Linked DNA regions of Neodiprion lecontei. The main gene of each other region encodes a partner of the protein of the gene in region 2 in a complex. Links are inferred from orthologs where the notes say so. Each region holds a gene or a part of one and is shown on either strand. Other genes may lie near its edges.

Region 1 (7,241 bases), on a different chromosome or scaffold from region 2:
ACAGCTCTGTTTGTGCGACATTGGCCTTAAATGTCTAGGTTCTGTGTCATCAGCGAAAAATTTTCCAACAGAATTTAACGACAGAGCTTTTGTTACATCGGGTAGTGTAGCATTATAAGCTTGAACCATTGTTAAAGAAGCCGACTGAATATTTTTTAAATGAGTCTTAGAGAGACTAGACTGATAAGCACTTCCTGCTTCGGTGTAACGACACCTTTGTAAATAGTACAACAAACGAGTTTCTTCCAACTTATTTCCCTCAAGGAATTTTACAAAGGCTTCTTCCTCTTCAGGATCCAAAGCAAGTTGTAGAATCTCATTCAATTTACCACAGGCTTTACATGCTTGAAAAAAGCAAGTTAACAATTGTCTATAGTGTGACTGTGGTCTTTGGTGAAAAGCTGTTTGAACCAAACCACATTCAACTGAAAGACTGATGCTGGTACTCTGATCACAAATTGCTGACAGAGGCGGTTTTCTTACTCGCAAATAAATCAGTGCTATTTTGTACTCATTATTACGAATCAATGTTCTTATTACAAGTTTGTGATGCCACTCTTTAACATCTGAATCTGATACCAATTGCCCGGTCAGAGTGTCCAAGAATCCTTGATAATCTTCATGATCAAGTAACCAGAAGGCTTGAGTTAATTTTATGAGACTCGGACTCATCTTAAAAGCTGATGGATACTTTATCAACTGATCAACATCGGGGCAAGAACCTTGTAAAAGTTTAACCAGATCCATTAGCAAATAAATCGTAATTTGATGTTTGTTCTCGATTTCGTCAGACTCGTTCTGATTATAGCAGTCGAAGAGGTAACTTCTTAGAAGCGATTGTAAAGATGGAGGAGGATAATATCCTCCTGTGGTAATATCCCCGCCTTCGCGTTCCCACTGTGATCTTAATGCCTGACACTCTTCTGTCATTAACTCATCAATGAATAACTCTTCCTTACGATCTGGAGGGCTAACAGTATTCTCTCTAATTTGTTGACGTTTATTTTTATAAATGGCTGCTAATCTCTCGTATGGATATGGTATTTGCAGCGAGAATGTTATTGGTAATGGTTCATCATTGACTTCATGTGTTTCAGGTAGTAGACCGACATCGTAAAACCAAAGAAGAACTCCTAGATGAGTAGCGACACGGCGTAAGGCTCTTTGTTGCTTCACAAGATCGTCCGATGGGATGGGTAATCTGGCAACTACTGTTGATAAGCATTCAAGTTGTTGTGAACAAAACCGTAACAACTTTATCTCTTTGTCTCCGATTGTTGAACCGGATTGGTCAAACAGTGGAATACATAGCTGATCAGCTACCATTTTTAGGGAAGAAGCCCTCTGAGCTCCCCACCTCAAAAACATAGGAAATAAATATGATACGCTCCCATCCCCCCATTCTTTGGCACATTTGATTAAGAATGATGCCCATCTTTGCTCCAGACAGAGAGAAAGGAGCATTTCTCGTTGTGCGTTTTGATCACAGTCAAAAGAGCAGTCGGTGTTGAATGGGACTAATCCAGCGGCAAGGCACTTATGAAATGTTTCTGAGGGTTGAATCAAAATGCTGGGACCAGCAATAGCCATGTCTCGTAGTAATTCCCACTGCAACCCTCGGGTCATCCAAATTCTTAGGTGGTTATTTGTGAGCTCCACCCAATCAAGACACAGAGATTTGGGGTAGAACAGCTCATCCAGAGAATTTCCTCCGTTATTAGGAAACTCTCTTAACGTTAAAGGAGAATAAGCACAGCTTAAAACCATATCGTCAGCAATATTCAATGTCTCTGATTTCATCTGATAATAACACAGGAAAGTATTTGGGTTCTGACAGTTGTGAATGTTTCGTGGTAAATGTTCTCTGTACCACTGATTTAAATCAAATAATAACGCTTTCCCACTCAATCCAATTAGCAATAAGCTCGCATCTCCTTTCTTATTGTTCGGTTCACTTTGCTCACAATTGTTCATTCTTTCTATCGAAACCAAGTTCGTTATTCTGTCAACAGGTTCTAATTGTAGATCAAATTTCAGACTGGGCTCACCTTCTATCTTAAAATGCAGATTGGTTTCCTTGTCACAATACCTTCTTTCGATGAGCAGTGCGTACATCTTTAGAATAGGAGCTGTTTCAAAGGTTTCTTCCTGGTACGCAACCCACAGGTAGTAAAATGGTCTCGGATCGTCGGCTGGCTCAAGCAGAGCCAAATGACTGATCGCCATACTATTTTTAGCAGAAGCACTTATCCAACCAATCGAACCATCGTTTTGCCAAATTATGACCCTCCCCAAACATCCAGATATCACACAGCCAATCTTTTTTGCATAGATCAGTGTCGTTGTAAAATTTTCATCATACAGCGGTGATGATTCAAATTCCTCCCGATTGAATCTTATAAAGTCTTCAATGCCTAAGTAATCAACAAAATGGAAGAAAACTCATTAAACAAAACTTAACAATTGAAAAGAGGGTCAATTATGACGGTATCTCACGATTATGTTTCAAATTCGATGAGAGACAAAATCGTCGATATATGAAAATTAAGAATAAGTTACTAACCAGGATTCAGCAGGTTGTACGCTTTGTGTATTCCCCTATCACAACGTTGTCTCGAAGATAATGAATACCTGTCTTCAGATAATTCAATGTCAGCTGGTGATAGTTCATTGGTCGTCAGGTAAGATACATCTCCGTCCCATAATACACGACGCAAATCCAATACAATATGGTACAGATTGCGCAAAGCGACACACGCGATTCCAGAACTATTGCTCAACATGCCATGTGTTCTTTTCTCATTGAAATCTTCCCACTCTGCACCTCCGTTCATCACGCACACCTGCTCCACACCTGCAGGCATCTGGTAACCGCGGTATAGCAAAAGATTTTTGTCAATTATCATCAATTTTACTTTAGTCACTGAATGAAAAATATACTTGTAATACATATATACGATAGAATTAAAATAGATAACACGTGAATAAAAATGCAACTTACCCTTATTGATCTGAGAACTCTTGATGTGGAGCAGTCAAAAATGCACAACATTCCAGCAGAATCTTTAGCTCTATTCGCGCCATTATCCAGTCCAACTAAGAGCAATAAAACGTCCCCAGGCTGCGTGGGAAATTGTGCGACAGCCGTCACTTTCTGACAGAAAGTCCAAGAGGAAATGTTTTCTCCTGTTTTTGTGTTGATTACAACAAGCCGTGAACCATTACTCAGCCATGCGTGATTCGCATCTTCCAAAAAGCTTCCACGGGGAATATCTGAGCCTCTGGAGGCAGGGGATCCTGCTGACTGTCTAAATTCATCTCCATCTGACGGGTTAAGGCCATCCCATATCGATGCTTGGATTTCTATTATTTTACGAACCTAAATAACGGTTACGATGTATGAAAGTGGTGTAAATAAGAATAGAAAAATATGAAAACGTGAGATTTCTCAAGCCGATTAGTTTTCGGTTTTTGGCAGGCATTGCTTGAACGTTAAACATGTTTTCTCTTAGTAACACTTAATTGCAATTTTTTAATACTGTTAAGAAATTCACCTCACAACGCGTATGCTCCAGCTCTTTCATATTTCAAATTATGATTTACGAATCACGTTGAGGCCAGAAAACATTTAGATACGACTGTATTTTTTATCGCTCTAAATGAGGTTATGTTTCGTTACTTGGAACGTAATAATTTTGAATTCGAATGAAAATCCACTTGAGATACCAGTTTGGCAGCTCTTATTATTGCCCGGTGAAAAAATGTTTCACGAATGAAACATACGTGACGATAAATATATTTCTACTGTATTATTAAATTTAAGTTTTATTTCGCATCTCGTGACCATTCAAAAATACCCTGAAGTACGTTAAAAATGGTCGAACGTAGAAGGCTTCGATTTGATTGGGCGACGAGTTTACGGCTGCAATTTCGTTTCGTCCTCGTGTTTCGAACTTCAAAGCAAAGGAATACGTGTTTACGAATGAAAGAATTTCACGAGCGTATTACGCGATGAACGACATTAACGTGTAAGTATCCTTTTGTGGATGTATTCGAATTGTATTCTAAGAAATTTCTTTATTATCAACGTTCTATTATCGGCACTTTATCGTCTGGTAAAAAGATTTTTCTACCATAACCTTAATACCGCAAATAACAGATCCGTTTCAGTGCCTTTTACAACGGCCCGAGAGGCAGACGTTGTTTATCAAGTATTGAGAGTTGATTCCGAGCCGAAGCGAAGCGGCGTTTCTAAGATACTGAGTTTGGATGAAACCCGCCTCAACGTGTAAGAACTGGGCTTTCCAAAGACTCTTCTACCAACTCACAAGATGAACAAATTTATGTTCAACCGTTTATCAGAAGATTTATTTTGTTTTTTTTTTCTTTGCTTCCAGGAATTTTACAGGCACAGAAGCACGCAAGGTTCGAGTAGGGCTGACCTCATTTTTTGAAAGCTTACTTCTTGTACTTGAAACACTCAAAGAATTTGGTCCGCCTGCGCCTGAGTATACACACTATTGACTGGACATATTCCACACAATACGGCCTACATAACTATTGGCAGAAATTTATTAAAATGCCTGAGCATACCCCAGCACCTTATACGCCCCGATCAGTCTATGGGTACGCTTTGTTTGTCGGTTCGAATATGTTATTCCTATTGTATTTGGTGTGGGCTATAGTCCCAGATAATTTGCTGCAAGAAAAATTTGGCCTTACTTATTGGCCATTGAAATACTGGGCTGTGGCCATTCCAATTTGGGCCTTGACGGCCACTGCGCTGTTCGCGTTTCTTATTTATCCAGCGATCAATCTGCTGATGACACCAGATATAGACGATATTAGGACAATTAGAGACAAGTTCTCTCTGAATACAGCGGATAAAGTTCCTGGAGGTATTCCACCTGTGTCTGACATACCCATAACTCAGATTTGCAGGCAGCTGTACCTGAGACCTGATGGAAAAATGAAAAATGCTTGACTAGTTTCAGTTGCATGGTATTGTTCAATGTAAAGCTAGTTATGACGTTATCATGTATTTGTATTTTTATAATATTATTTTGTTTTTAAAATACAATATTGTGCGTATAAGTTTAAAACGGTTATAGAATTTCATTTTTTTGTTCATAACAACCTCTGGCCACGCTGATTATAAATTTCTTTCTTATAAATAACATTACTGCAGATCATTGCATAACAAACTGTATTGTCTCGCTAAACTAAAATATCTTTCCCCTTTCTACAAAGTTACGTGGAAGTTGAACAATTCAAAATCAACAGTTCAGCGTGCGATACAGTTGGACATGAAATGACTGATAAATTGTTTGTGTGAACGTATAGTGTTAGATCAACCAGTCTTTTCATCAATATTAGCTGGAATTGGAATTCCAAGGACTTCGAGAAACTTGGAATTTTTAACGTGCTGTGCAGGGCCATCTTGCTTGAAGGAGTAAAGCAGTTTGCCCCCTTCTTTAACAACTAGGGCCCCACCATTCTGTAATCCATCTCCTTTATAGTTTCCAGATACTTTCAATTCCCTGCCTTTATTAATAGCAGCCCTTGATTCGCCGCTAAACAGCGAAGCAATTACAGAGAAGTAATTGTAGCGCTTAAATCCAAGACCGGCGTAGGTCTTCTTATCAATGTCCACGTAGAGTTCTGTGAGGAAGAGAGAAAAAGATCATCGCAATCAGTACGGGCACTTTCCACTATGGAAACTCCGGCGCGATGACTAAATACCTCCTTTGAAAAATTTCCCGTCCACAAATTCTTGGCTATCAAAGTCCTCCACCCCAACGCCAATCAATTTCACATTGTGTTCCTTGAGGAGATCTGCAATTGCGGACACCTCTTTTGCCCACACTCTGCATAGCATGCATCCCCAGCGTCTGAAGAAGACAATTACCACAGTCTGGTCCTTCCAAAGACTTTCCAGCGGAACGACCTGTTAAAATATTTGAAAGAACGAGATTTTTCAGATTTCCGTACATATCAGTTTAGTAGTAAAATAATATTGATTCTTGATAAAAATCAAGTAACAATGAAAAGTGACGGTAATTGTGCAATTTTATTTTAAGAAACGAAATAAATGATGACGTTTATTTCTGGTAGAATTGTTACGTGAATTTTATAAGAAATATTTACTTTATTACATTTCAGCCGCGTTCAACACTAAGATAATCGCTTACCTCGCCAGTCGTAAGGTTCTTTATTTTATTTTGGGATATATTTGTGAGGTCCACCATTGTTGATAATTCGCTCCTATTGACAATGTTCCGTCACGATGACTACGCGTCAAACTAAAAACAAAACGCAACGTGATATACATATATACAGAGTATAAACGCGATTATTCATACCACTGATTCATACGTATGCATGTGAACGATTATAGGGATATATAATATGTTTATCGATATTTCCTGTCGAAGAAGCGGTCGTTTTGTACCTGTGCTGTAGGTTAATTGGAAAATATCCCCACTCGATTAGTTGTTCCCAGTCACCTTGAATCGAGTCTTGCGTGCTACTATGACTTGGATATTCTTTCGAGTTTTCAAGCACTTATCTGACGATACATCCCATTAACTTCAGTCTCAGAATCCCACCACCTCTAACAACGTCTAATGTGAGTATAAAATATGTAATTTAACCGAGTGTTCTTATAATATCACTTCAACAAGTTGACGTCTCGACTGAATATAAAAAATGTTTGTAGTTTTTCCACAATATTCTATTCCCGCAGGGCTGCTTCTCGCGGTTTGAAATTTATTTGCTTGTAAAATTCGAATACTGATTCACCGTTATTTGATAGTTGCGCAACGCGGTGATAACACCAATTGCACTGATAAAAGCTGAAACCCACAGGTCATAAGTCCGTTTGGTCGGTCGAGGCATGTTTCGGTTATGTCAAGCGGGTGCTTTAGTCGATTTCTATGTGTCGTACATATCTCCAAATATCGAAATCCACATAACTGAGACGCGAAAAAGTCTTAACAGTCCCATTCTATATGCAATTCTGAACAAAAACACTTCAATGCATTTTCATTTGAGACAGAAACAAAGAAATGGCACGGATTCTACAAAATCGCAATAGTAAATTCGTAGAATTCATGCCATTTCTTTATTTCTTCGTCAAATGAAAATTAATTGGAGTGTTTTTGTTGAGGATTCCATACAGAATGGGACTGTTAAGCCTTTCGTCACGCCTGAGATACGTGGACTTCGGTATTTGGAGATAT
Region 2 (8,181 bases):
TCACATACTGGCTTCAAATAACAAAACCTCTGTTTCCGTACTTCGGTTCCTTCGGACAGCCACCAATCAAGATTTCGTACAACGTCATCTTTCCAAGCTGCCATTCCAGGGAGCGAACAGAGCGACTGAGCTTGCCTGCATGTCCTGGCTGCTAAAAATATCGGCAATTGAATTGCGCGTCGCTGGTGGCAGCCTTCAGAACTCCCTGATTCAAAGACTAGTCGGCAATCTAATCCATGACAGAGATCAAATTGTGCCATCCCAAAAACTCCTGATGGATCTACTTCACTATATCGATTTCCAGTTAAATCTAGATCCTCCAAAGTCCTGGGAATACTTTGATCCGTCTCAAATTGAAATGGTGTTGGGACGCTGCAGCATTCCAGTTCCACTTGGTGGAAGTCCCCAGCTTATAGATATCAGAAAACTTCACAATCTTATAACAGAAGAATTGGCTGGTACGCAAACTAGCGCAACTGCGACTCAGCGTAAGCTTGTGCAACAGGAGCTGCAATCTATCCTTGCATACGCCTTGAAACGAAATCAAACGAAAACCCTTTCTTACGCTACTGTGAAGTTCGTCGAGGGCTGGTGTCAAACAACTGAAATTTTATTCTCTGTCGCAACGAACCAGCAACTTCCCGCTGCTCAGAGGCAAAATCTTCTGCTAAATTTGTCACATGATTTACTGCAGAAGATGACGTCTTGCGAAGCTTTGAACGAAATCAAAACACTTGTATCTGGAACCGTGCTCGTACTACTAGTAAACCTTCGTAATAGCTTCTCCATGCAATCTGACGATGAGCTGCTACCGTCTTCCGCTGCAAATACAACAATGATGAAGATTATCCTTAGTCATATTCTTCAATGGATCTTAAATTCTGGTGTATCCTCACAAAAAGTTCGAACCCATCTTTATGGGGCACTTCTCAATTTCCTCTGTGTAGTCAGTTTGGAAAGATCGGAAGTTGTGACCAACATGGATTCCATGTATGTTAGTCAGTTAGATAGTTCGTATTATAGAAGTACGCCGCTACAGGAGCGTTCGCATCGATATGCGACGATACAAGTGATCAGTAGTTACGGTAACAAGTTGATGGATATATTGTCCCACGATTGTTCCGGTGGACACGACGTCTGTAAAATGCTGTCATTATCGTGCCTCGACAAAATTTTAGAATTCGATTGCAGCAATACGTGGGTCACATATCTGGCTAGCAGAGGGTACCTTAAACACATGGTAGACAGTCTTCTGGATTCTGACAATTTATTGCGAACAATGCTTCAACCAGATCCACTCACTCTGCGGCCCCTGTATTTATACGAATCAAAAATGGCAACGCTCTGCAGAATGGCGTCGACCAGACTGGGTGCCGAATGTCTTCTGGAAAATAAAGTCCTATCTTGCTTATCAAGCATGTGTGTTTTCGATCAGCATCCTGACGTAAATGTGGGCTTTGAAGGTGGAGATATATCCTTTGTGCCTTCCATAGGTCAGCGGTATCAGCAAATCTTTTTACCTGCACTTTATTTGTGCGATGCTTTGCTGACTACCCTTGGAACGGAAAATCAGTCTTGTGCCATACAAGTTTGCGGATTTTTACAGAGTCATCGAGATACCGTTGAAATGGTTTTACGGAATGCATCACCTCATTCTAATGTTCTGTTCCTCAAAGAAGTCGCCAGTCTCACCGGGGTCATCGCAAGGTCTGCCAACATTGGTAGGCATCTCTCATTCAATTGATTTTTTCATGATTTTATTTCTATTTTATTCTATGCAAATATTTAATTCTCTTCTTTTTCAGACATGTATAAACTTGTTGACGAGGAATTGGCCAGAGCCAACTCTAACGAACACAAATCTGAAGATAGTACAGGCATGAGAGAATTGCGAGCCCATCTTTATAGGCTCCAACGTTTGATGCTCTCCATGGTCTCCAGATTTCAGCCACAACTGCCTCCCGTCGTACCTCTACATCAACAAATGGAAGCTACCCAACAACATTCGTGCGCAATACAAATTGCTGCCAACGTTATGCTGTACACTCGTAATCAAGTATGTCAAACTTACCGACGCAACTCATTTACATTGATTGAAGATTGAACTGTGTTCAAAATTCTGATTTTCTTTATTCGCTTTTACAGATGGAACACACCCGGATGGATCAGAAAATAAAAAACGTACTTTTTGAACCTTATTTAACAGACAGACCTGGGCTTAGAGATGGAAGAGGAAAAGATTCCACTGGTGGAATACATTTGGGTGCAATTATAGGGCAACTTGTTTCTTCTACTTCGTTACTTCACTCAGAACTGCCGCATTTAGACACAATGGTTAAAAATGCCTCGATTATAAAAGACATGAGTTCAAATGACCTTAAAAAAGTGAGTGCTAACATGATAACACGTTTCTAATTTAAAATTTCACCAATGACATTCTTTGAAATTGAAATCAAATTTCGTTTTTTTTTTTCTTCAGTACATAACAGAAGAGGAAGGTGAATTGGATATTCAAAAACAGCGATTAATAGCCGAGAAAAGACTAGCGGAAGAAGCGCGATGCAAACGCGGAGATCTCAAGTACTGTTCATTAATCGTAGAACATAGTCTGTACATTTTATGGAGTCACTTAGACTTCTTTGCCATGCAAGCAATGACGCGTCACAACAGATCTCAAGGTAAGCGGCATCTGGAGATCTATGTTGAATATTTTTACAATATTTCAATAGGTAAAATATTACTTCTTCTCTTTACAGTGTCTTCGAGTAACTTGGATGAAACTGTAGTCTCGTGGAGAATATCTGCAGAAATGTTGTCCGATCTAAAGCAAGGGCTTGTTTCCACCCTATCGGACAGTTTTATTACCCAACTAATGGACACACCAAGAGAATTCACTACGACGGATCGATCTTTTATCGAAGCATTAGTTCGACGGATCAAAAGACTCTTGCAGTTTATTATCACCAAGTAACATTGTAGCAGTATTTTATTTAGACAAAACCAAATCTGAGTTCCAGTCCAATATCGCCGCCTCGAAAAGCTTATGCGAGACATAATCTTCTGAATCATTTCTTATGTATTAATAAAAAATAACTTGTTATATTAAATGAAGATTTTTTTTTTCTCATGAATTTAGGTCACTGTTATTTATTTGTGTTGTGTGTTTTTTTTTCTTATTTATTAAAATTTGGTCGTTCTGATGCAAATCCAACTAAATACAAGATATGAGAAATACGTCAAGTACGGCCTGCGTGATTCAGTGCATAATCAATCAAATTCAGGCCTTCAACATAACCTCAAAGGTAACACTTATCTTCGTCAGATGTTAATCTACCTGTTCCATTTTTTTTAATGATTGTGAAAAAGGAATGTATTTTCATATTTTAGCGATAATTAAATGATTTCTAAACTGTAATAAAATATCCCTTGACTCGTGGTTGAGATTGGTTGACACAAGTCATGAACAAATTTGGATCTACAAAAATCTTAGAAATAGTTTTGTTTCTTCGACGGACTGTCACGAATGACGCATGAGAATGAAAAATTTTTTATACTTCAATTATTCTCGGTAAGCAATTCGAACTTATTTCAATATGAGATCTATTTATCGTATCGCTTTCAAACTACAAAGAATTTGACCCCAAACTAACCTAATTTAACTAGAATTTATATTGAATTTTATAAAGCTTTTCGTTTGTCGTTCACTGAATCCATTAATTAATCCATATCCCGTAACTTTCCATAAATATTTATAAAACTACAGTCTACATATACAGCTCGTTGAGTAACGAGAAATCATATAAGAATTTGTGCGATGCAATCAGGCAACGAGACTATCTCAGACGTGTACCATTATATTTTATTTTCAGTTCAACAGTTCTGAAGCACAATGCTTAAAATTTGGCAGCTGTCCAAAAAACTCTAGCATAACGTCAAGCCGGGGAGTGAAATTGTGAATTTCTGACTGAATGTTGGAATGAGTTACTCAATGAATGACATTCCACTGGAGAGTCATTTAACGCAAAAAAGAAGAATGTCTCATTGTGAATTAGAGGCGCCTGTTATGAATGGAAAGAAAACAAATGGAGTTGTGACTAGACGGTGGCGTAAAAATTTGTACGAAACTCGTGGGCTGCCGGATAATTATACGGACAGTTCGTTCCTGGAAGAATTGCGTAAAAATATAAACCCAAGTAACATTACAACCATCGAGGCTATATCGTTTGCGGCGAGTGTGTCCGTCCAACTGAACATAGTAATTTTATTCGTCATAGTTTTCGTTTGGTTGGACAACGAATGGATAGCGCCTAATGCCATCTTTGTGTTCAGTGGTATTCTCACATTAGCCGGGTATTTTCTTCATACTTTTAAGAAGTCCGACATGCTGGAAAAAATGTCCAAAGACCTTAGAACTGTCTTGATATTTCTTGCTTTTGGCTACATCTTATCACCGATATTGAAAACCCTGACTGCAACCGTCAGTACGGACACAATATATGCCATGACAATATTTATGTTTTTGATACACCTTATATTCAGCAAATACGGCTCCCCACAAGTCTCTTTGTCCGACTCCCTCTCCATAACTTCCTCAATTTTTGGCTCGCTCATGTTAGCATCCAGACTCGTTTCGCCTCTGCACGCCTTCTCACTCCTTACCACAGCCGTTCTTTGCTTTGTTCTTTTGCCGTTTGTCATGTTTCAAATCGATGGCAAAGTGTGTATCACAATTGTTCTTTCTGCCACTACGACTTATCTACTTTACGTCATATCTTCAACAATTTCGTGCGTATTTATCGGAGTTACCATATTTCTACAACTGGTTTGTCCCCTTTGCTATATCAGGTGGCAAACTTATAAAGAAAATATTTACGGCCCATGGGACGAGGCCGTGATCACGTCTTGAAGATGTCTAAAGCATTTATGAAATCAGTGAACAGCATGTTATGTGAAGCACACATTTTTAAACCAAATAATATTTATTGGATGAAGGAATTTAGTTTCAGATAGAATTTTCACTGTTAATAAATTCAATACTATCGAAAATGGTGGGGGATAGTGAAATATTCATGGAACGATGCTGTAGTTTTTTTATAATATTTTATTCTGATAAATAGTGCTATAAAAAATTCGTATAAATTAATGTGACAATTTTTAGTTAGTATGGAAATGAATCGGCACACGAATCATTTTTTATTCATTTATGATACATTAATTCTTATAAAATCAGGTATATTGTTATACTTGTACAGAAATATTGGGCACTGCGTGTCTGCTTATACGAGTATTAGGTATTATTATAAATTCAAATCCGAGTTTGAGCTATTATCCAAAAATTAAACCTAAGGAAACTTAATTTAGGGTTCAAATTTGTTAAACAATATCGGTAATACAAGAATACACATATTTTACTTTCTCATTTACAACCAGAATGTTTATTCCTGCGTTTTATTTTTTACATATCCAATCCCGAGATCACGGTGAAATTCAAATTTGAATCGAAACTACCGCCAAAATCCTGATCACGTGATTTCGGGAAGTGTGGCGCGTATCGATCGCATATGCGCAGTAATCAAATGATTGTGCTGGTGTCTGAAGTGGTTGTGGTTGTGGTTGTGGTGAATTAATGACGTTGATAGAGGTTATGAGTTTTGTTTTACTGATCTCATTCCATTTTAGAGGCAAATAACAAGGTAATAAGAATGAACTCTGGTCAGTTTCACCGTGTTTTTAAAAATCATGATAGAATTTTGCGACAAATTTTCATGTGCTTTTTTTCCACTCCGCGTTTCTTATTCTTCTAAATATTATCAAAGTCTTAATATTGTCTTTTCTGCAGTATTGATATGTAACTAACAAAATTGAGATAAGAATTATTTACGTCAATTATCGTAACTATCGGTACGAGTCTATCTTGAAATTATTTCCTTATTTGTAGTTCTATTTATCTTGGCCTCCAGAAAAATTTCCCCTCAACAGGCTTGATTTATTAAGTTATGATTTTTACGTAATAGATGTTTGAAAAAGAGAATAAGTAACAATCCCATTTTAATGTCAATGTAGCTAGGCAAATTATTTTCCATTTGGTAAGCCTCAATTATCATTTTCTGAAAGTACACTTGTTTACAGATCTGTAATTAGGTATCCGAAGTAAATAAAGAAGAGGTTCGGAGGCAGTTGTGTTTTATATTTAGGTTCATAAGGACCGTTTGACAGCTTTGTGGTAATTGAAAATATTTTATTGTTTGTTCAATTACTAGTAAATAAAATCAACAAAACGTAAGTTTCACATTAGGCTTTCATTTTCAAACCAAAACTGAGGATCGTATAGGAATTATTTGACAATTTGTCTACATTGTAAAGCTTGGATTTTTAGGATTCAAAATGAAGAAATTTAAGAGAGCGCAAGCGCAAAATCAAGCGGCGATCGAAAGGCACATGGTTACACATCCTATGGTAGAATCGTCGAGCGACGAAGAAGATGAAACTGGGCAAGAGATATTGGAACAAGCTGTTGGAAAGGTCCTGACTTCCTACCAAGATCAAGGTGGAGATCCTGAAAAAATCCTATCTTATTTGGCTGATACTTTTCAATCTAACGGCGCTGTTTGCTTGATATGTATTTCGTCGGTGAAGAAAACAGACGCAGTAAGTTTGAATGAAGAATTTGTCATGATAACACTCTCATCGCTGTTCAGCCAGTAGAAATTGTTTTGTCATGTTTTATCCTAATAAATTATTGATGCAGATATGGAGCTGTACCATGTGCTACTCATTTATGCATCTCCCGTGCATTCAGCACTGGATTCGAGACAGCCTTGCTTACAAGCGGGACCGTGGAATTTCTCAATTATGGGCATGGTGGGTTCAATCAATTGTTAACTCGCTGTTAAATTCTGACAGCTTTTGTTCTTTTCAAATCAACTCTGATGAGCAAATAAATCTATGATCCACCTTTATTATCGATGTCCAGAGTTAATGACAATTGAGTCTGATTATTGCAGCCCAAAATGTCGTACAGAGTATGCCGAAGACGAGGCTCCGCAACACTATGAATGTTTTTGCGGAAAGACGAGAGATCCATCATATCAACCATGGTGCGTACCACATTCTTGCGGAGAAGCATGTGGAAAACTTCTCCAACCAAAATGCGGGCATTCCTGTGTTCTGCTATGTCATCCCGGACCTTGTCCTCCGTGTCCTAAAATGGTTTCTTCCAAATGCTACTGTGCCAAATCAGCCCCTCGTCCGAGACGCTGTAACGCCAAAGAATGGAGCTGCGGCGCTGTTTGCAGCAGGAATTTGAAATGCGGGAAACACACGTGCACAGAAATGTGTCATAGTGGCGAGTGTCCACCATGTCCGGAGAAGGTTTCCGCGACTTGTCACTGTGGGAATAAGACCGAGCTGAGGCCATGTTTCGACACGGTGTGGCGGTGCGATAAACCGTGCAGAAAATCCTTATCTTGTAACGTCCACGTTTGCCAAGACGTCTGCCATCTGCCCGGAGACTGTGGCGATTGCCTGACGGCCAAAAACAGGTCGTGTCCGTGCGGGAAGAGGAAGTACAAGATTTCCTGCAAGCAGGAGGCAGCGACGTGCGGTGATACTTGCGAAAAATTACTGGATTGCGGAGCACATTACTGCAACAAACGCTGTCATCTCGATAGCTGCGGGCAATGCTTGGAGGTGGTTACCAAATCGTGCAAATGCGGTGCTCACAAAAAAGAGATAGCTTGCGCCAAAGTGTTTCACTGCGACACGAAGTGTAAGCAGATTCGGTTGTGCGGACGGCATCCGTGCAATAAAAAATGCTGCGACTGTGTGAAGAAGAATAATTTCAATCCTTGCGAAAAGACTTGCGACCGTACTTTAAGTTGTCGCAAACACAAATGTTCCGCTCCTTGCCACAGCGGCCCATGCTATCCCTGCCAGAGGACAGACACTATACAGTGTCGATGCGGTTCGAGCAAAATTGTCATACCTTGTGGTACAGCCAAGAAGATTAAACCACCTCACTGTAATAAAATGTGTAAAATTCCACCGATTTGCCACCATCCAAAACGAGAGTCGCACAAATGCCACCAAGGACAGTGTCCACCCTGCAAGAAACAATGTGCCTTGGCGCATAAAAAGTGCGGTCACATTTGCCCAGTGCCCTGTCACACCAAGGTATGGGTA
Region 3 (8,324 bases), on a different chromosome or scaffold from region 2:
GACACATCAAATACTTTTTCAACTTGAAAACTTAAAATATTAGATCGCGGTAAGCCAAGGTGTGAAAAGTCTTACCTCAAAAAGCTCGTTATCTCTTAATGCTCTGTGCGTCATTACAACACCGTTATTAAATTCATCAAGTGGTCTTCGTCTCTCTGCCGTTCTAGCATTGTTAGACAATTTAATGAGGGTTCCGACTCGCTCATGGAACCTTAATCTGTCCTCCCGTATAGCAGCTGCGCTTGGATTCTTAGGTAGGTTGATATTTACATTAACGTTAACGTTCAGATTGGTAACTAAGTTTGTCGTTGAAGAATTTGACGTCTGTGCAAGTGCGTGATCATTGTTGATTTCTGTCTCATTTGTTACGTCTGTTATGGAAAGTGTTGGCCTCGGCTGAGAGACGCTTACTTGGACGCAGTTACCATACATATCAATTACTGCAAATACTCGTGAAGGGATATTTGTAGCTGCTACACCTTGAGACATTCCATTTACATAGAACACTAGTTCACTCTGAAAATGAAACAAAATATTTATTTGACTAATAATTGTTTCAAATACATGAATTTCAGTCTGTTCAATTTTAAAATGTGTCGTCATAATTTCAATGACTGGATTATAAATATCAAAAAATAATGGAGTTCATTAAATCTTCTCTGGTCAATTTTTGACAAACATTGACGGTTGGGAGTTTATTATTCAACGATTCTCAAAAATGACAGAGACAGTATTGAAAAAACATTGCATTATTTTTATCACTTTATAAAATCCTAATTGGAATATAATTCTTCCATTCCAAGAGATGTTAAAGTTTATTCATGTAACATACAAGTGACGGATGCATGGAAATCAGACAATTCTAAATATAATTTCCAGGTGGAAAAGCAATTCATGAAAGGTGCATACCTTGTTAAATAATTAAGCTAGTTGTATTATCCAATAAAATTTAAGTTATCTTTTTTTTTGTGCATCTATTCGTAGAGAATTGGTGCACAAGACGAAGCCAGTGATGAAATTTGAAGAAAATGCTGTCCTACTTTGTTCTTTTGATCTCAAATTTTGAAATAAGTATAATGAAAATACGATGAATCGTCAATTAGTATCTAATTTTGTTATTAAAATTCTTGTTTGGTAACAAAATCCTCTTAACATATCCTCTTAAAATGTTTGTAGTTAACCAATTTTCAATGATAAAGTAGGTGAAGAAAAAGAATAAGTTCAAACAGTTAGATGATCCTACATTTTGGCCTTTTCATATTCTGCTCGGTTCAAGATTCGGTGCTACACATAAAAAAGTCATCGACAAGAAAAAGAGAAATGAACCAAATACACAGTTAAGACTAACATTTGAGGTCCTCATCACACCAAGAAAATCTCCTTCCTCTAACGTTTCAAGATCTGTCCCGTACAGTTCTACAATTGGTTGTCCGTCACGAATAATCCCAGAACCTGACATTATCCATGATCCAAGTCTAAGCTTATTGGCACATGCCGGTAACTCCATACTCTCCGGATCACATGATGTCACTCCGATTTCAATGCTTCCGCTCCATGATACCATCTGAAAGAAATTACCGTGAAGAAACAAATAGGCAAAGAAAGAGCAGAAACGATATGTTGATAGACAAGTAACGAAGCGAAGAATATTGTCTTGCCTAGTTGAGGAGGACATTATGCAAGCACGGGGCATGCAGGAAACGGCGTTACAATTAAGAAACTGCGTGAAAGATACGGATTGGAAAACCGAGGTTTGTCCATAAAAGTCGTGGGCGACGATAGCGTGATGAAAACCTGTAAATCCCGGAGATTTGACAGTTCGGCGAGTCGATGCAGTGGGCGACAGGTACGAGTATGGAGAACTGCAGCATAACATGTCGAGTGGTGCACATCGTTACCTTTTTATCGATGCGAACTTCGAAGAGTTCATCATCCTTGAGCGGTTCGGAGCTTAATACGAGCCCGTAATTATATACAGAGAAATTTCGGACGGCGGTACAGTTGTCATTTATTAAATTAACACGCTCCCCGCATCTTTGGTGAAACATAACGGCCATTTGTGTATGTATACACAACAACAGCAGCAGCAGGGCCTCGTACTCCGAGGTCCCCGTATCCGATATCCGATCACGTCGTCTCGCGTACCAAATCCAACCAAACCATCATAAAAATAATCGATCATTTTTTCCCGATTAATCGAGTATAATCGATTATTTCTTAAACTCGATTAATCGACCGACTCGATTGTTCTTTCTTATATACAATCGGTTTTTGATTTTTACTCCCATATGAATGATACAATACAGAGAGAAACCTTACAATACAATATCAATTTATATGATTAAAGTATCAACAATTGACATTGTCTTACTTACCAAGCACCTATTTGATATAATAAGTGAAAGGCGTATATGAATATTTTCACTTACAACATTTTGATTTCATATGCATCGTTTCAAAAAAAAAAAAAATACGGAATAATCGATTAATCGGTTAATATTTACCGATTCAATTGAGTCATGTTCGATTATTTTTTGGAACTCGATTAATCGAAGCATATAGGATGACACTCGGTGCTAGCGACAGCTAGCGACGAGAAAAATACGCCCGAATGATTGGTTCTGATGTACCAGGTCCCACCTTGTAGGAGGGGTTTATCATTTCAAGCCAATGAAAAGGCTTCATTTCACCTATCCCACCGCAACGTCATCACATCATCAGCCAATTGAGGGAATTCAGTTTGGCAGTTATCGTCTGCAATAATCTGGTCAAAATCCACAATGACGCTCGTTGATAAACACGGGGGTGGTGAAACAGGTCAAATCGAGGTAATTGTGTAAAAAAAACAACTCGGTTTCAGATGTCAAGATGGGACAAACCCGGCATAAGATATGGTGAGCATTAATTCTATTTGTAAAAATATCCTTATATCAATGCCTACTGCTTTCGACTATTCTAACCTATAAATTCTGACACCAAAGCAAAGTCAAAGTTTATCGTCAAGCTGAACTATATCAATTATTTGCAAATGACTTGTAATTAAGAAGTGACATCTGTTTCCTTTATTTCAACTCGTTATCCATCTTGTTTTTGCAACATACCCTACCTTGACTACAGCAAACTGAGATAACTTTTGGAATGAACTTACCTATTCATATTTTAGCAAGTTACAATGCCATAACTTGATATTTTCTTTCAGTATGGTCTCCGACTTCTTTTATCCGAACATGGGTGGGGTGGAAGAGCACATATTCAATTTGTCCCAGTGCCTATTGGGTCGAGGACACAAAGTCGTAGTGCTGACGCACTCTTATGGTGATAGAGTAGGAATACGGTACATGACGAATGGCTTGAAAGTACATACTCTTCTTTGCCCTGTGATCAAATTTTTTGTTTTTAATCCTGGATGCTCATTCAGGGTCTAATTCCTCTGCAAAAATATAGAAAAAACACTGTTTCAAGTCACTCAGCTCATCAAAATCTACGAGTAACTTCTTATTGTAGTGTTAAATCAACTTTTTGTGTTCCCACTCACCACTACCATTGAATATATTACTTTTTATACATTTCAGGTCTACTACTTGCCGATAAAAGTATTTTACAATCAATGTGTGCTGCCCACCATGATCTGTTCTCTCCCATTGATCAGATACATCTTCATACGGGAACAGATCCAGATAATCCATGGGCATTCGGCATTCTCTGCCTTAGCCCATGAAGGGATGTTGATAGGGAGGCTGATGGGACTGAAGGTAAACTGCGGTCGCATTTCCAGGTGTCTTGAGATATTCGTGGGACATACTATGTCACGTAACTGAGAGGCCTGGAAAAGCAATAAATGAAATTAGCAATGAAAACAGTTTGAATTATGTTAAATCTCTTGTACGAATTCTGTTCTAGACTGTATTCACAGACCATTCATTATTTGGTTTTGCTGACGCATCTGCTATCCTGACCAACAAATTCATAGAGATATCACTGTCAGATTGCAATCACTGCATATGTGTATCGCACACTGGAAAAGAAAATACCGTATTAAGAGCAAAAGTACAAATAGAAAGGGTGTCAGTCATTCCAAACGCAGTTGACACTGCGCTATTTACACCTGATGTTAGCAAGAGGAACAATGATTTTAGTGAATATATTTTTCGATATTATAACAAGCAATGTCTAGCTGCTTGATTCTTTAGTCCGCTTTGCTGTTAGATACTTCACTCGAGAGATGAAAACACTTTGGCTTCATACAAGTTGCAAGATGCTTTTATGCAAGGTGGTTATTTGAATCTTTCAATTTCTTGCACATGCAGTGAATCAAAGCTTTTTTTGCAGTTACAATAGTTATAGTATCCCGGCTAGTCTATCGAAAAGGGGTGGATCTCCTAGCCCATATTATTCCTGAAATTTGTGCAAAGTATGAAAATGTACAGTTCCTGATTGGAGGCGACGGGCCAAAACGGTGGCTAATAGAAGAGATTAGAGAACGGAATTTACTCCAACACCGAGTTACGCTGCTCGGTAGTCTCGAACATTCGCAAGTGAGACATGTTTTAAACAAAGGGCACATATTTTTGAACACCAGCCTAACAGAAGCCTACTGTATGGCAATCGTGGAAGCTGCTTCTTGCGGGTAAAGCAACTTTCAAAAGATTTACTTGTGCCAAGTTTTCAGATTGGAAGTTAATGTTTTCTTTAATTTCTTCAAGATTACAAGTTGTTTCCACACGAGTGGGAGGAATACCAGAAGTTTTACCACCCGACTTGATATATTTGGTGGACCCAACAGTGCCTGCTTTGGTACAAGGCATTGATTCTGCGATAGCTGATTATGTCACTGGCAAACAGATGTGTCCTTTCAAGGCGCACAAGCAAATAGCTTCATTTTATAACTGGTTCGACGTTACCAAACGGACGGAAGTTGTATACGGGCTGGTTGAAAAAGAGAAGCAGAAAAATCTTGGACAACAGCTGAGCAGCTACATTCCAACCGGTGTCTTGCCATATTTGCTAGTTGTTTCACTGTGCTATATTATTCTCTACATTCTGGAGTATCTTGTGCCTAAAAAGGTATGTTCATCAGTCACTTAACATGTGCCAAAAAAGTATCAGTTACCACGTATGCAATATATACATTTTTTTTAGTACATCGACTTGGCGCGAGACTACGGACAATCACAGAACGAACCACATATTCACACCAAAGTGCCAAGAAAGAAGAGAGGCAGCAATTCATGACGCTAGTATTATGTTCTGATTCTTAAAAATCAGTATGCTTACACTGATTGTTGTGTCCATTGTTTACCAAAGAAATTACAAATTTCTATACTTGTAAACGTTCGCCTTATCAAGTTTATTACCGAAGTATCCAGATTTCAGAACCATGCTAAGCCTTTAAAAAAAAAAAAAGAAACGAAGTATAGTTCCTATTGCCTAAATTGTTTTGCATATTTGTTTGAAATTTTATATTCGATATTTTTAGCTCATCGCGAAAAAAAGGTTTTGTAATGTTACTTGGCGGTGTTAAAGATTTTGTAAAGGTTGAAGGATTGCATAAGAGTTCTTGAATTTTATTGCGAAACTTTACTCGCTTTATGTAATTGGACTTTTTGTATCTTACAATGTTATTTTCATTTAAATTATTTCCAAAAACAAATTCAACAAATAGTTTTAGGAATACATTGACTGTTCGTTCTTTTTTTTTTTTTATAGCAAATTTGACTACTGCTAATCATTCTTCGTTCCTTACAGTCATTTTGGCGATACATGTTCGTATAATGTAGTCTACAGTGAATTTTGATAATATGAATTTTGTGGCTAAATTCTGGAATATCAGAGGCATTGCTTCAATTACAAGTTTAAAGAATGATTCTTATTTTTGTTTTTTATAGCTACTAGATTAATTTATTTGTACAATTGACTTGATTTAAACAATGAGTGAAGTACAGAAAACTATGTTGTATAGTGAGTTAGGTAATGATTTCGAGCATTTGCAGAAGAATTCAGAAACAGGAATACATAATTTAAAGTTTCTTGTTCTCCCTTTTTTTTTTTACACAGAATGTGTGGTAACAAGAATATGTGCAGCTTATGTAATTGTGATACAAAATAATGAATAATGCATAGTGTCTATGTTGTTAATACGTACCAATAATTGTTGAAGTGAACATACAAAGTTTTTGTCGAACAAATTATTCATAAGACCATATCATGTGTAACATTTAATAGTCACTTGTGTGTGACACCATAACAGTGTGACACTCGATTATTTTCAGTATTTCTCATTCAAATATTTATTGAAACACAATACTGGTCATTTGCGAAGCGCCAAACTAGTACAGTATTTATTAAGTGCTTGTATTTGATGAACTTTATTGTGTTATACCAACTTGTAAGTAGATTTTACAGTATTTTGTAACTATAATTTAATACTTTTATTTTCAAACAAGCCTGAAGGATGTTTCTGTTACTTTTATTTTGATAATTGTGTAAAGAAAATACAAAGTTCAACTATGAGTCTATGAAGGGATCAGACTTTGAACACTTTCCTTCAAAATTAAATCAACTGTGTGCATAAGGTAGTCTCACTATTATAACAGTCTGTATTACTATTTTGTGATATGTTATGAATGTGAACAGGGTGTGCATGCATGTGTATGCGCTCTGACAATCATACCATATCGAATAAACTTAGCTTTCGGACAGCTGAAACGCACATCAGAAGTTTTCCAGAATGCCATGAAATTCGGCGAAAACAGAATATGAGCAAGAAAATGTATCGTGAAATATGATTACCGGCGCTTTGCTACCAACCCCTTTAATGCGATATTATTAATTATCGGTCAACATGAACTATTAAGAAAACCAGAGAAATTCTTTGTACAAATTCAAAGCAGCTAAAGATTTTCTAATTCAATTTCTTTATACAGTAGAAGCTCATTGTTGTCGTTCACTTGGATCTGGTGTCGACGAGGAAACTTTGCCCCACCGATTCACAGAGCGCTAGTCAATTACAGTTTTACACATAACTTGACAACCAGCTTCTAGTGTAAAGGTTTATACATAGGGATGGTATTATTATATAACAACATAACAATGAATGAGATGAATATGATACATGAATATAATGAATATAATTTTATAATGTCTGGATATTCTACGTACAATTAACAATAGCTTATTTTTACTATAAGAGACAAATAACTTTGTTGACGTGTTAAGAAGTCTATAAAGTCTCGGCGAATTTTCAAAATTCGTGAGATTCTAAGATACAAATAATAAATACATGTATACGTCATGTAATTATAATTAAAAGCAATATTTTAATCGAAACCTAAATACCTAATTATTGCTTATCACCCCTTACAAAAATTAGAATATTTATTATGCTTCAGCTCTCGTGTCGAAATCAGAGAACCACCTCTCAGTGGTAATATTTTCCATGCTGAATCCGATTTGTTATTGAAATATATTTGAGAAAACGTGAACTTTATTCCATCAGTGGTATAACAGATTACTTAAAACCATTTACATTGATTTGGTAGGTTTTTTTGTTTTTGTTTTTTTTTTATTATTATATACAAGTCATGAGAATCAGCAATTATTTATAATATTTATAACGTGCACAGCATCAACATCGCAGACTCTCACACAAATCAACTCACAGTTCCGTTGATACTTGCTCTCTGGTGTATGCAATTTCATTGCATATTATTATTATTATTATTATTACTACTACTAATTTATATCTCACAACTCGGTAATTTATACCTTTCAGGCAACTATAACACAACATTTAATATCTAAATAAAAAAAATTGTCCTGTATCGAATACAATTTTTCTTCCTCTTCTTCTTTTTACCAGGAGATGACCTTTCGAAATAGATGCAACTACCAAAGATATTCTTTTTTTTCCACTTTTGTCATGGATATTTGTATTTTACCTTGAAAAATTTGTGTAACAGTAGACCTACATTGTCGATATGATTAATTGGTCACTTAAGAACAACCAGTCAACGATGAATTAAATATATATAGGTATATCTTCGGATCGCCAATTACCCGCATGTATTTTATGCGTATGAAACAGCTGGCGGTGATTACAGCTCTTCCGAACACTCACAGCTTGATATAACACTTCATGCATAACGATGGATAATGAATTATACATCACAAGAATTCATACGAAATTACAAATACACTTGACTCTGGGTTCACTGAAATCGCCTCTCTGTTTATCAGCATTACATTGTGATTATAATAAACTCGTATTATCACCTTTACGTAAGTACGTTGAAAATAACGTATCTACCACTGAAATCCACTGGACA

Evidence for each region.
Region 1: phosphatidylinositol N-acetylglucosaminyltransferase subunit C (region 2) and phosphatidylinositol N-acetylglucosaminyltransferase subunit P share a complex: the UniProt entries of both Homo sapiens proteins name them as parts of the glycosylphosphatidylinositol-N-acetylglucosaminyltransferase (GPI-GnT) complex. The link is inferred for Neodiprion lecontei from reciprocal best matches to the Homo sapiens genes PIGC and PIGP.
Region 3: phosphatidylinositol N-acetylglucosaminyltransferase subunit C (region 2) and phosphatidylinositol N-acetylglucosaminyltransferase subunit A share a complex: the UniProt entries of both Homo sapiens proteins name them as parts of the glycosylphosphatidylinositol-N-acetylglucosaminyltransferase (GPI-GnT) complex. The link is inferred for Neodiprion lecontei from reciprocal best matches to the Homo sapiens genes PIGC and PIGA.

Annotation. Positions count from the first base shown.
Region 1 is NC_060263.1:36,933,816-36,941,056, reverse strand, and holds phosphatidylinositol N-acetylglucosaminyltransferase subunit P, read left to right. Parts: upstream 1-3,909; 5' UTR 3,910-4,011; coding exon of another isoform or gene 4,012-4,028; intron 4,029-4,159; coding exon of another isoform or gene 4,160-4,288; intron 4,289-4,397; coding exon of another isoform or gene 4,398-4,524; 5' UTR 4,525-4,579; coding exon 4,580-4,984; 3' UTR 4,985-5,262; downstream 5,263-7,241. Other genes in the region: protein ELYS, read right to left, coding at 1-2,414, 2,564-2,864, 3,002-3,379, 3,555-3,584; prostamide/prostaglandin F synthase, read right to left, coding at 5,351-5,661, 5,743-5,947, 6,192-6,248. UniProt on the Homo sapiens protein: Part of the glycosylphosphatidylinositol-N-acetylglucosaminyltransferase (GPI-GnT) complex that catalyzes the transfer of N-acetylglucosamine from UDP-N-acetylglucosamine to phosphatidylinositol and participates in the first step of GPI biosynthesis.
Region 2 is NC_060261.1:2,754,382-2,762,562, forward strand, and holds phosphatidylinositol N-acetylglucosaminyltransferase subunit C, read left to right. Parts: upstream 1-3,162; 5' UTR 3,163-3,302; intron 3,303-3,387; 5' UTR 3,388-3,568; intron 3,569-3,869; 5' UTR 3,870-3,976; coding exon 3,977-4,906; 3' UTR 4,907-5,400; downstream 5,401-8,181. Other genes in the region: nuclear pore complex protein Nup205, read left to right, coding at 1-1,721, 1,806-2,056, 2,146-2,385, 2,480-2,678, 2,757-2,971; NF-X1-type zinc finger protein NFXL1, read left to right, coding at 5,703-5,712, 6,377-6,648, 6,749-6,861, 7,005-8,181. UniProt on the Homo sapiens protein: Part of the glycosylphosphatidylinositol-N-acetylglucosaminyltransferase (GPI-GnT) complex that catalyzes the transfer of N-acetylglucosamine from UDP-N-acetylglucosamine to phosphatidylinositol and participates in the first step of GPI biosynthesis.
Region 3 is NC_060263.1:40,959,032-40,967,355, forward strand, and holds phosphatidylinositol N-acetylglucosaminyltransferase subunit A, read left to right. Parts: upstream 1-2,743; 5' UTR 2,744-2,868; coding exon 2,869-2,894; intron 2,895-3,198; exon of another isoform or gene 3,199-3,199; coding exon 3,200-3,356; intron 3,357-3,378; exon of another isoform or gene 3,379-3,406; coding exon of another isoform or gene 3,407-3,487; intron 3,488-3,572; coding exon 3,573-3,752; intron 3,753-3,900; coding exon 3,901-4,135; intron 4,136-4,329; coding exon 4,330-4,627; intron 4,628-4,703; coding exon 4,704-5,064; intron 5,065-5,139; coding exon 5,140-5,232; 3' UTR 5,233-5,407; downstream 5,408-8,324. Other genes in the region: neuralized-like protein 4, read right to left, coding at 76-516, 1,349-1,564, 1,899-2,057. UniProt on the Homo sapiens protein: Catalytic subunit of the glycosylphosphatidylinositol-N-acetylglucosaminyltransferase (GPI-GnT) complex that catalyzes the transfer of N-acetylglucosamine from UDP-N-acetylglucosamine to phosphatidylinositol and participates in the first step of GPI biosynthesis.